Drosophila melanogaster: one gene and its partner. The protein of the gene in region 1 interacts with the protein of each later gene in a biochemical or structural test. Each region holds a gene or a part of one and is shown on either strand. Other genes may lie near its edges. The genes, in order: SC35 and Tnpo-SR.

Region 1 (5,358 bases):
ACACCCGAAATGATTTGAGTTGGGAACCAATTTCCTTGGCCGCCCCAGGAGCTGACCAGCTACTTATGGCGCGGCACGTCTCCCTCTGCATCACGTAGTCCACCTTGTCCGGAAATGCTTCGCGGGTGTGATCGTAGCGCGACTGCAGCGAAAAGTCCAGCGTATCCTTCGGGATGTTCGGATTGGCACGGTACCGCTTGCTCGAGCGCACCGAGTTCATCGTTTGATGATAGAAGAGCCGCTGATACGGCTCCAGATGGCCATGCCAGGTGCCCGGTTTCAGATGGGCCTCCGGCAGCGGGGGCTCTGGAAAAGAGCACACATAGGTGCCCTCCGTATGCAGTTCCGGCTGCCTGAGAGCACACAATAGTCATCTTGAGCCAAGTCGGGCATAACTAAAGCTTACCATGATACATTCTTGATCTGCACAGTATCGTACTGAATCATCTTTGCAGGAGAAACCAATATAATTTAGATGAAAGTGTAAAAGGGTTTCTGAATCGTATTCAGAAGGACTTGGGTATATGTGATTTTGCCTTCGGTTTCCCGGCAACTGCTTTGTCAATATACCCCCCGACTACCATGTTTCTCGGGAGTCAATAGAAACCGAAACATAATGGATGGATGTTCTGGGCATCCGAAGATACTAGATCTTTCTTTACAATATTCCAAGATACATATATGTTTTAAAACCCCATTTCAACCAATTAATAACATATGTAGATGGTTAAGTTATAATCAAGTAAAACTTTATTGAAGCGTTTAATTAGGCTGCAAATTCAAAGGGTTAGCTCTCTCACTTACCGAATGTACCAGATCGTTAGGGAATCCCACATTTCGGTCGAGTCAGTATGCAATCCAGACTCTAGCATCCATCGCATCGTCGATGTGGCCTCTGCTGCAAATGATGACTTTTCGCCTAAACTCAAAAGGGACGCCCACCAAGATACAGGAAAACACCAACAACGCCAACCAGCAACAAATCGCGAGTTGAGACGAGACGAGACGAGGCGAGAGAAGAAGTGACGGGAAACGGGAAACTATGAGTGAATCTGGAGCAGCTTTGGCAGCGCCAGCGTCTAACAGGAAACAGGAAGCTGCTACGGCTACGGCAACTGCAACTGCAGCATCAGCGGCACCAGCAACAGCATCATGCGACAGCAGCAGCATCAGCATCAGCATCTGCAGCAGCAGCAGCAGTAGCAACAATCAGGAGCCACGCGGTGTCCGCCTACGTGAGGAAGGAGTTGTAGCTTAGATGATGCGCTGCTGCTGATCCTTAATCGCGAGCGATTTAACCACAATCTTATCTGAACCGCAACAACTGCCACACACCATTCGCCTGCATATATATAATAAACGTGTGGGAGAAGCTTGTTAATAAGTTTGTCGTTAAAAGGTACAAAGAACGGAAACGAGCAACACAAACGCAATCGAATCGAATCGCAACGAAACAAACAGAATCCTAGAGTATTCCTATCACTCATCCACCTCTCATTCTCCTCCTGTCCTGTCTGTCATTTGATATTTAGGTATTGAATTGAAGCCGTGTTAATTTGAGTTTATTTTGTTCTGTTTCTGATTACGTTCAAGGATTTCTACTACGCTCTAGTATATGAAAGCCTATGTGCAAGAACCGACATCGAGGGATCGCCCAGGTTGCGGGGATCTCACTCGGAACATAATCATGCCTGATCTCTACTTATTTACTCTGCCGAAACTTAAAATAGTTCGCTATAAATAGTTGTGTTAAGTGTAAGATTGTATAATGGTTTCTATACCTGCTGTTCGGGTACAGCATGACACAGATGGAGCCATAGATCCGGAACAGGATACAGCATTGGCCCTAGTCAGCGAGTCATATCTGAAAGCAAAGAACAACTAGTTTTAAAATAATCCCTATTTAACGTAAGGTATGTTTAACCTTATATAAAGCTTTTTCTGAAGCGTTACACGATATGAACTCACCTCGCACTCCCACTAAATGGAACGTGACGTCGATATCTAGGAGCGACTGCGACTACGAGACGCGGCTGGGGCCAGTCCTCCAGATCCGCTTCCGATTCCATTGCGGCTGTCGCCGCGTACTGGACTGCGTGAAAATTTGGATCGGCGTTCCGGCGAGTGGCTACCAGGCGAGCGGGAACGGGAGTATGATCGGCGACGCGGACTGCGCGAACGACGGCGCATTGGGGAGCGAGAACGTGACCGACGACGCCCGCCGGAACCACCGCCTCCTCCTCCGCCACGACGACCACTGGAGCTGCGAGTGGGCGAAGAGGGGCGTCCGTAGCGGGCCATCTGTACGCGGAGCTCCCTGCCGTCTAGCATGCGACCATCCATGGCCTCCAGTGCGTCCTCGGCATCACGTTTGTCATAGAAGCTAAAAAATTAAGGACATGATCAACTAGATTCGTGTGTACTTTGCACATACGTTTATTTATATTTAAGTCTATATTTAATTGTAGGGCTTACGGTAAGTTGGCTAGCAGGGGTTTGGTAGGCAACTGTTGCAAGTGTACACATTCAATCTAGCATCCTTTTGCTAAAGAAGATGTACAGACTGAAAGCTGTTACACATTCAAAAGGGGCAAATAATGCAGGTAGATACAACAAATAAATAGAATAAGTGACCTTGTATCAACTTAATGTATCATTGAAGCCATATGTTATGAAACTATAACTTTAGAACTTATTATTTAGATGTAGTATTCTCTGTACGTTGGCTAGTAAATGTTGAGTAGGCAACGGTTGCAAGTGAACACATTTGTTCTGGCACCATTTTGCTACTGAAAGTGTACAGATTAGCAACTGATACACAATCGATGATAGCAAATAATGCAAATAGTTCTAATGAAATGAGAGGAATATTTGAGTTTAGACAAGGGGCGTACTTATTATAGCAGCTATATTCAAATGATATTTAAATGATTACTCTGAGACTTTTGTAATTTGCTTGCATACCCTGATTAATTCAGGGAATACATAACATTTTTCCTCAATGTGCTAGTTTTCAATGAAACATTATAAAGTAGATAGTGAAAGCGGATATGACGAGTGATTGTATAGCATGATTTTCGCAGTATACTTTCGGGAAATACATATATTTTACTCCTAGTATGTATGGATACATTTTAGGTCCCATGATAATTAAAATCCACCGCCGGCAAGTGAAAGTAACAAAACAAAAAAGACCTAAGACTTTCACAATTTTCCCGGAAGAGAAGTGAATGCTTACCGAACAAATGCGAATCCGCGGCTCTCACGTGTGTAGCGATCCCTGGGTATGTAGATGTCCCCCACCTCGCCGCACCGCTCGAAGACCCGACGCAGATCCTCCGGCGTGGTGCGATATGTGAGATTGTCGACCTGTAGGCATAATTACACGCGGATTAATTTACATGCTTTTGGAGAGGTTACCTAACCACACAACGTTGCCAGCCGGCCGCCATTTTGTGGGCGATTTAGTCGCATTTTACTTAGCAGATACTTGCCTTAAGCGAGACCATTCCATCGATCCGTGGAGGTGGACGCGCTGCGCCCAATCCCCCGGCACCACCACCGTTGCTCATTGTCTATTTGGATATTTGTTTTACCGCTAAAATGCTAATGCGAATGCTGAAAACGAGCCAAACTCCAGACGATTTTTTCACTACTGTTAAAATGGCGTCTGGCACGACGTTAGAGCTGGAACAACATCGATTGTAATTCGATACCATTGATGATGAGCTTAGAAATGTATTGAAACCCCAAGGCTCACTACACACTTATCAATATTTACAAAACTCGCATTACACTTCTATTATACAAAATAACTAAATTAATAATTATAAAAACTCACTGAAAGTGAATAAAAAATTATTAATGTCTAGTCACACATAAAACAAATACAGTTTGTATTTATATATGTACATGTGGACTACGTTATATTTAGCCTTAAAAAATTATATTAATCAGAACAAAGTACAAAAGCAATATAATTATTTATGTTGAATAATTTTAAAAGTATTAAAAATCTTACTAAAAAAATTTAAAAATATCTTAATACTTTGCCCCAAATCAATTATAGGCCACTGTGACAGCCAGCACATATCGATGCACCGATAACACCGCATACAAGTGGCAACCCTGACTTGATGCGTGGCTTAAAACGTGTAAAATAATAGAAGATTGCTAGTTCCGAGCACTGCATTTAGTGTTCAGGTAGTCGAATCATACCTGCAGATCACCAGGTGGTCACCACTGCCCCAAACAGGCGATAGTCGATCAAATTAAAGGGAATTCGAGTTCAACCCGAGTTGGCCAGGCTAGCAAAGCACAAACAACAAACACAACACCGAGTCACAACAAAAGTGTAGACCACATTGAGCCGAAAGTCTGGCCTAAACCCCCCACAAGCCACCCCCCCGGCCAACAACCATCAAGGCGTGCGTGTGTTGGTGGCATTGCTTTTGCCATTCCCAATTTCCATTACCATAGGCAATCCCAAGAATTCCGAACGACCGCGTGTGTTCTGTGTGAGTGCGGGAGCAGCAAGAAGAAGCAGCTGAAGCAGTTTGTAGAAGGAGGGCGAAAGTGTGTCGTCGCGTGAAAAAAGCGAGAGAGAGATTTTCATCGGAGGAAACCACTGCGGAGGATTACGGACGCACTGCAACGATGGCCGCCCAGGAAAACACGGAGATCAGCACAAAGTTCTCAACGCTGAACGTGAACGCGGTAGAATTTGTGCCCAGTTTCAGTTACAACAGCGTTGTGAATGTAGCTGAGGAGGCGGCGGCAGTAGTGGTTGCAGCGGCTGCGGCCGAGGAGACGGCGGATCCGGGTCCCGCCTCCGGTTCAGCCACGCCAGCCACCACACCCGATTCCGTCGGCAGCGGGGGATCCACAGCGGGAGCAGCTCCACCGCCTCCAACTGCACAGGGGGCGGGGGCAGCAGCACCCTCAGCACAGCCGCCCACATCATCCTCCAATTCCGCATCGCCAGCGCCGGGTTCGCCAGCCACCACGCCTTCAGCAGGAGCAGCGGCGGCGGATCCAACGCCCATCGATGGTCTCAACCCCTCGGACAAAATCGCAAACAATGGTAAATAGAGCTTGCTAGCTACCTAAATACCCCCTGCCAAATACACATGCCCCACGTCCATTGAACTCGCTTCTTCTGTGACGTCAACAAAGAAGCGTGTTATTGTTGCTACCTGCTGGTCGCAAGACCGTTGGCAGAGACACAACAATGGGGAATGGGATAGGGAAAACCCCAAAGATAGGTTGCATTCACCAGGTTCCGTTTAGGTTATTATCGCTGGCCCTAGTACATAACCTCAATCTGCGTCAGCACTGCCGACGTCGGCGTCGCATGTG
Region 2 (6,325 bases), 9.7 Mb from region 1:
TGCCGTCTAGTGGCTGCCTGCACCTCATCCCCAGTGCCTCATCACGCGGCCGAGAGGTGGGCCCTGCTGGCACTGAGTCGCTTCGAGACGTTGTGCGATATTGATCTGCTGCCGCTCTACATTCCCCTGCTTCACACCTGCGCCCATCTGTGGTGAGTCCAATCGAATCTTTCCGCATTAAGAAAAAGGCTAATCTGAATATCTCATCCTTTCAGGTGGCAGCGCGGCCAGGACCAAAAGCCAATCACCGACCGACTGACTGACATGTCCAAGCAGGGCATCAACACGGCGAACACCGAGAGCCTCATGCAGGCTATACACAAGATCGATCCTCGCACTGAAACAATTTGAATCGTGAATCTCCGCTACAATTTTCATCCATTAGTTTAATATTTTGTTCTGTAGTCTTTAGCTGTCCGGCGAAAAGTGCAATTAGATAATGTGTGCAATTAGTTTTAAGGTGAAAGAAGTATTTATCAACCTTTGAGGTAGAGCCCATATGTACCCCCTTTGTCCTCCAAAGTAGTCCGTTCGTGCGAACAATGTGTCACAAAGCATAACCAATTTAAGACAACAATTAAAAAAAAAAAGTATGTACGTCTCTTCGTCTAAATGTTTAATTCGTTATTTTAAAACTCTGATTTTCAAATTAAAATGTTAGATTTTTATAACTAAATCAAAGATTTTCAAATAATTTAACTAAAATTGGTTCTTATTAATAGCTTACATTAATATTGCGACTAAATGTAATTCGAAACAAAAAGGTTCTGTTCGTAACGTACTGCTTTGGTAACTTAAAGGTTAGTCTAAGCATATTTATGTTTCATGTTACGTATTGTTTGATATCTCTTCAATCGTCTAGTTTGTAGTTTGTACCCAGTGGGAGTTGTGATTAAGCCGTGCAACGTACATAATTCACAAATCCATCATCGAATGTCCATGACGCAGTGTCTCAAAATCCATGCCCAGAATTCCATATCAGCCTGCGGAAATATCAGACAAGTCAAACGAACAACGCAGCTCCCAGACTTTTTTGTTTTTTTTTTCTTCCAGCCCAATGTCTTGTGATTGCTTTTTCAATAAATAAATATTATACTCAAGTGTTTTGCAGAACAAATGTGGTCAATTATATCTAAATGGTATATATTTAATGGTTTGCCTTATGCCTATGCTTGTTTGTGAGTCATTTTAGGTTTTAAACTTAGAGCTAGGAGTGCACGCTGATGTAAATAACTTACTGCTAAATTCTGTGAGGATCTCTTGACCGCACTCAAAATGTACAATTCAAATTATATATAACTTATTACGTCAAACAATCGATTCAACTATATTATAAATAGAGGGGTACGTGCGTTTTTAACAAAATTCCTAGCACCCTTGCCACATTACATACATCATTCAAAATGTACAGAATCATCCGAATCCAAACTCATGCATCTCCCTGATTAGCGAAAGAGTCGCGTGAAGGTTTTCAAGGCTTGCGAAATGGCTTTCGTTGTGTCCGCTCTACAAAAGGAAATATAATATATTATGAATAAAATACAAAACGTCTGATGGCAAATCCTCACCTCAGAACTGTGCTGCTAAATTCGTCCAGCTGTTGCTGCGTGGCTGTCACGTAGCCACCGCTGTTCTTTTTGGGCAGTGCCTCCAGCGCCTGGGCCAGGAAGGGCTGCATCCGCTCGTTGCCCACCACCTGCTTCAGTTCGTGGAGCACCTCGGCCACATCCACCAGCATGTAGGAGTGCAGCTGAAAGACGGATGCCTGGATCAGGTTCATCACCAGAGCACCGCCATGCTGACTGGCCAGCTCCACCACCAAGGGACGGCACTCGGTGTTCCGGCTATGGTTATTCGATCTGCCCCAAACCAACAGGTTGATAAAGAACTTCATCACAGACGAGTTGGCCTCGCGGTGGTCCAAGGAGCAGGCTATTAGCGCACACTGGAAGATCGGCGTGATGAGACTGCTCTGGAGCAGCTGGTGGGGACAACAGTCCAGGTAACGCGATGCCAAACGGAAGAAGTCATCCACTGTGTCGGGGTTATTTTTTAGACCGTTCTCCATCTGAAGCAGGCCAAATGTGGGCTCTATAAATGCCTGAAGCATCTCCAAAAGTCCGCCAATGCACTCGCTGGACTTTGCGAACTCGTCCACCAGTATGGAACCCACGTAGAGGAAGCAACTGTGGTGCTGCACAGAATACAGCACGACCATTTGTTTGATCAGCGGTTCCACCAGCATCATTGCTTGCTTTCTCACCATCCGAATGCCGTAGCGAATCAGTCGGCAGGTGCGCTCCATGATACGCAGATCACTCTGGTACTTATCCATCACCCGCGATATCAGCTGCCAGGCGTCGTTCAGAATAGCTACCGTGGGGTGCTCCACGTTGTCGGGAACGTCTGGATTCGTGTGTCGGATAATGGCGCAGGCGCGGTCTATCCAGTAAACGGGATCGGTGCGCTCTCCCTTTTGAGGAGTACTGCCAGTGCTGTCCACCAATTGTGCCAGTGGTTGCAGCTGGAAGCCGACGATTTCCCGCAGAGCAGGCTGCAGTTGCTCGCGTGGCAGGCGTGTCAGTATAAGCGATATGCCCTTTAGCAATCCTATTGCCACATCGTTGTTTATTTGAAAGCTGTCCAGACTGCGGGCGATCTCCACAAGACCGCTTATATGGCACACCATCTTCTGTCGGCAGGCGGAGCAAATGGAAGTCAATGCAATGGCCGCAGCTGGCGCCAAGCCATTTTTCTGCTGCAGGGCGTACAGCAAAAAGTTTAGGACTGCCTCCAGCGATTCAGGATGGTTCTCAATCCAGTCGCACAGTTCGCCGATCAGTAGAATCGCAGTGTACCTAACTGCTATGTGCGTTTGCTCCGACATATTGAGAATCGCCTCCACCACCTTGGGGATCACTTCGTTCTCATCTCTGCAAGGTAAGTATTGTAAATCTGACATGGTAATAAACAGCTGCATACGTACGGAAGTATATTTTTGGCCACGTTCTGCATAATGAACAGTGCTGCCTCTGTGGACTCCCACGTAGTTTCTGGAGCTTGCAGGATATGAAACATTTGCTTGAAGCACGCTCCAGATCCCACTATGAAGGCCACGTCTTTTATTAGATCTGAGACCTTGCGTCGAAAGTCCTGCAATTCATTTGTTTTAAGATTAGTACAATTAACTTCAAGGCATTATATTAATTTAACGTTGATAATGTAGAAAACTAATCAAACTTCTTGTACTCATTTCTAAATAAACCGACTCTAGCCATAAATGCCTATTCAATTAAAATACCCAACTTCAAAGAAAACTGCTAAAATTTCTCAATATCACACACTCACAAAGAAATTGTTGTTCTCCTCGATGAGCCCGTCGTGGTCGCTCTCCATTTGCGAGTGGCGAAACAGGGCGCTGATCAGCCGCTCGATGTGCGGCCGGAATAGAACCGTCAGCTTATCCTCGTTGCGCTGGAATAGATCCTCGGAGAGTTTGTACCACAGGTGGAAGGTGATCTCGGCCACCTCGTAGTCGAAGTGTCCGACGCAAAGCAGCACAAGATCCAGTCCTTTCAAACTGTAGTGTGGCTTCTGGGCATCGGCCAATAAATCGTAGAAGAAGGCATCGCACAACGAGGTGAAAATTCGGCAGTAGTTGATCGTCTTGTCGGTGTCCTCGTGCGCCACACTCAAGTGATAGGGAGTCTCCAGCATGCAGACAGCTCCAAAGAGTTGTGCCTCGAAAGAGGACTCCGGATCGCTGGCGCCATCCTGTCGTGTGTTTATGCAGGAGAGCAGCGCACACACGCATTCGGTGGCATTGTCGTGCAGTTTTCCACTGGTCTCCGGCAGCGAGAGCAACCGGAAGGCCAGCTGTGTGAGGGCGTTGTTGTACACGTGCGAGACGGGAAAGGCATGGATCACCAGCCAGGCACTGTAGGTGCGCAACGCCGCATTCCACACGCGCTGCTGGTCGAGATCCTCCCGCTGTAGGCACATACACAGGAACTTTAGGACACACTCTGCGCTGGCGTCCAGCTGCTTGTGCACCTCCTCGCGCCGATTGGCGCCCAGCCGCAGATACCGTGAGTCTATTTCCTCGGGAAGCACCTTGAGCACCTCCAGCAGGGGCCAGATGGCGCACTGATGTGGCGCCAGTGTCACCAGAAGATCGTTGATCGGCTCCCGCCAGCTGGCCATCAGCAGGGCCAGATCGGCAACCGCCAGACTGAGCTGCGTCACAATCACATTGTCCGTCTGCTCGTCGATCTGGCCTATGTGTGTGATCAGTGAATCCCGCAGAGATTCGTGCGTGTGCGGTGGCAGTTCGCTGAAGGAGTTCTGTATCTTGTTCCGCATGGTCTGCGCAGCAAAGTAGTTGGCGTGCAGGTCTCGTTTCTGGTGAAGCAGCTCGTCCGCAATCGTCCAAGAATAGATCTTTAAGGAAGTCCAAAAAAAAACTTAGCAATCGCACGAAGGTTTCGTACACCGGGCGATTATCACTCACCGACTTCTGGAAGTCCTGGAGCCATTTGTTGGCCTTCTCCTGCTCCTTGGGATTGTTGCCTTGGAAGAGGGCGCTGATTGCTTGGTACACCACGTCCACCGAGTACGTATCCATTTCATCGGCAGCTTTAATCAGCGCATAAAATTTCTTAATTACTTATTATTATACTTTATTAGCGATGGCTGATTGCGTACATCCCGTGTATCGATAACGCAAGGAGGTGGCATGCGATAACTTTGAAAGGTGAATGTCCGATAGTCTGCAGGACTTTTTGAAATTATTCAGGGTTGTCAAGTGCGTCAAACATTAAGGACCATTAAAAATAATTAAAATATTTTTACAGTCAAATATTTTTTAGCTTATGTGAATTCGTTTTTTGAGCAATAAAGCTACTCGGTTTTTATATCTTAATACTTGCCACCCCTATGTAGTCGATACATCGATACCATTGGTTGCTCGCAACAACATCTCTAATCAGTTTTCTGATCAGAATTCTGCAATGGATTCGGACAGCACCGTGACTTCCTTGGAGGAGAACACGGAGAACTTTTGCACGAATCCCACGCGCGACATCCTCGCCGAGGGCATCACCAATCTCTTCAAGCCGACGATCGAGCGGTTGGACGAGCGCGTGGCCTCCACCATCCAGCTGCAGGCTGAGCTGCGTGGCCAACTGGATGCACTGGCCGCCCAGCTGAGGGACATCGAAAAGGCGCAGAGTCAGATACCCGAGTTCGCGGACAAGGTGAAGGAGCTGCTGAACGTCAAGCACAAGGTGACGGTCATAAGCAACGTGTTGGTGACCAGCCAGGAGCGGCTGACGGGTCTGCACAAGCTGATAGAGAAGGAGCAGCGGCGGCGACAGGCGCTTCTCGATTCCGCGCTCAGCACCAACATATCCTAAATCCAATTACTGTTCGTCATGGAGACGCCCTACACCGACCACTTGAGCCCAGAAGATTTCGAGCACGTTTACGAGCCAGCGGAGGACTCGTTCCTGCTGCTGGATGCCCTGGAAAAGGATCTGGAGTACCTGGACCGGCTACAGCCGAGTCTCTGCGTCGAACTGGGCTCCGGTTCGGGTGTGATCATCACGGCGCTGGCCAAGAAACTGGCTGGCTTTTCGCTGTGCCTAGCTACGGATATCAATCCCAAAGCCTGCAATGCCACTCGAAGAACTGCGACTCGGAATGGCGCTCGCTTGGATAGCATTCGCTGCAGCCTAGCGGATGCACTGCGTCCGCGATCCGTGGACGTGCTGCTCTTCAATCCGCCCTATGTAGTCACCAGTGACGAGGAGCTGCAGACGCAACAGTTCGATTCGCACAGCGAATCCTCAACGGATCGCAATCTGGTTTTCTCCTGGGCTGGTGGACAGGACGGGCGACGCGTCACGGACATTCTACTCAAGCAATTGGATGACATTCTTTCGCCTCGAGGCGTGCTCTACCTACTCCTGCTGCGGGAGAACAAGCCGGAGGAGATTATCAAATACTTAGAGGGCCTCCAGTTCCGGGCTGTTAAGTTCATGGAGCGACGCATTCCTGGCGAGCATTTGTGCATACTGAAGGTCACCAGGTACTTGGCATCATCATGACTCGTGCAATAGCATCAAATTAAAGTTGTATTTTAATTAAAAGATAAACTTTTTTAGGCGTTTATTCTTAAATTTGATACTAAATAATATGGAGAATAATTTTAATAAAAGTTGAAATAAATGAAAGAAATGGCTTATGAAACTTAAAAGCTCTTAAACTTTTAGAAATTTTTGCGCTTATATTTGAATTTGAATATAAAAGTAGCTCAACTTCATTT

The links.
Region 2: the proteins of SC35 (region 1) and Tnpo-SR interact in far-western blotting, tested with the Drosophila melanogaster proteins (one study listed by BioGRID).

Annotation. Positions count from the first base shown.
Region 1 is NT_033779.5:12,430,341-12,435,698, forward strand, and holds SC35 (SR family splicing factor SC35), read right to left. Parts: upstream 3,699-5,358; 5' UTR 3,573-3,698; coding exon 3,495-3,572; intron 3,370-3,494; coding exon 3,239-3,369; intron 2,841-3,238; exon of another isoform or gene 2,685-2,840; intron 2,611-2,684; exon of another isoform or gene 2,458-2,610; intron 2,384-2,457; coding exon 2,005-2,383; 3' UTR 1,969-2,004; intron 1,865-1,968; 3' UTR 735-1,864; downstream 1-734. Other genes in the region: CG5435 (uncharacterized protein), read right to left, coding at 1-353, 407-447; eRF3 (eukaryotic translation release factor 3), read left to right, coding at 4,657-5,083.
Region 2 is NT_033779.5:2,758,332-2,764,656, reverse strand, and holds Tnpo-SR (Transportin-Serine/Arginine rich), read right to left. Parts: upstream 4,734-6,325; 5' UTR 4,625-4,733; coding exon 4,511-4,624; intron 4,441-4,510; coding exon 3,349-4,440; intron 3,154-3,348; coding exon 2,987-3,153; intron 2,934-2,986; coding exon 1,569-2,933; intron 1,507-1,568; coding exon 1,446-1,506; 3' UTR 768-1,445; downstream 1-767. Other genes in the region: Snx21 (sorting nexin 21), read left to right, coding at 1-152, 216-351; Snapin (SNAP associated protein), read left to right, coding at 5,010-5,414; HemK2 (HemK methyltransferase 2), read left to right, coding at 5,433-6,107.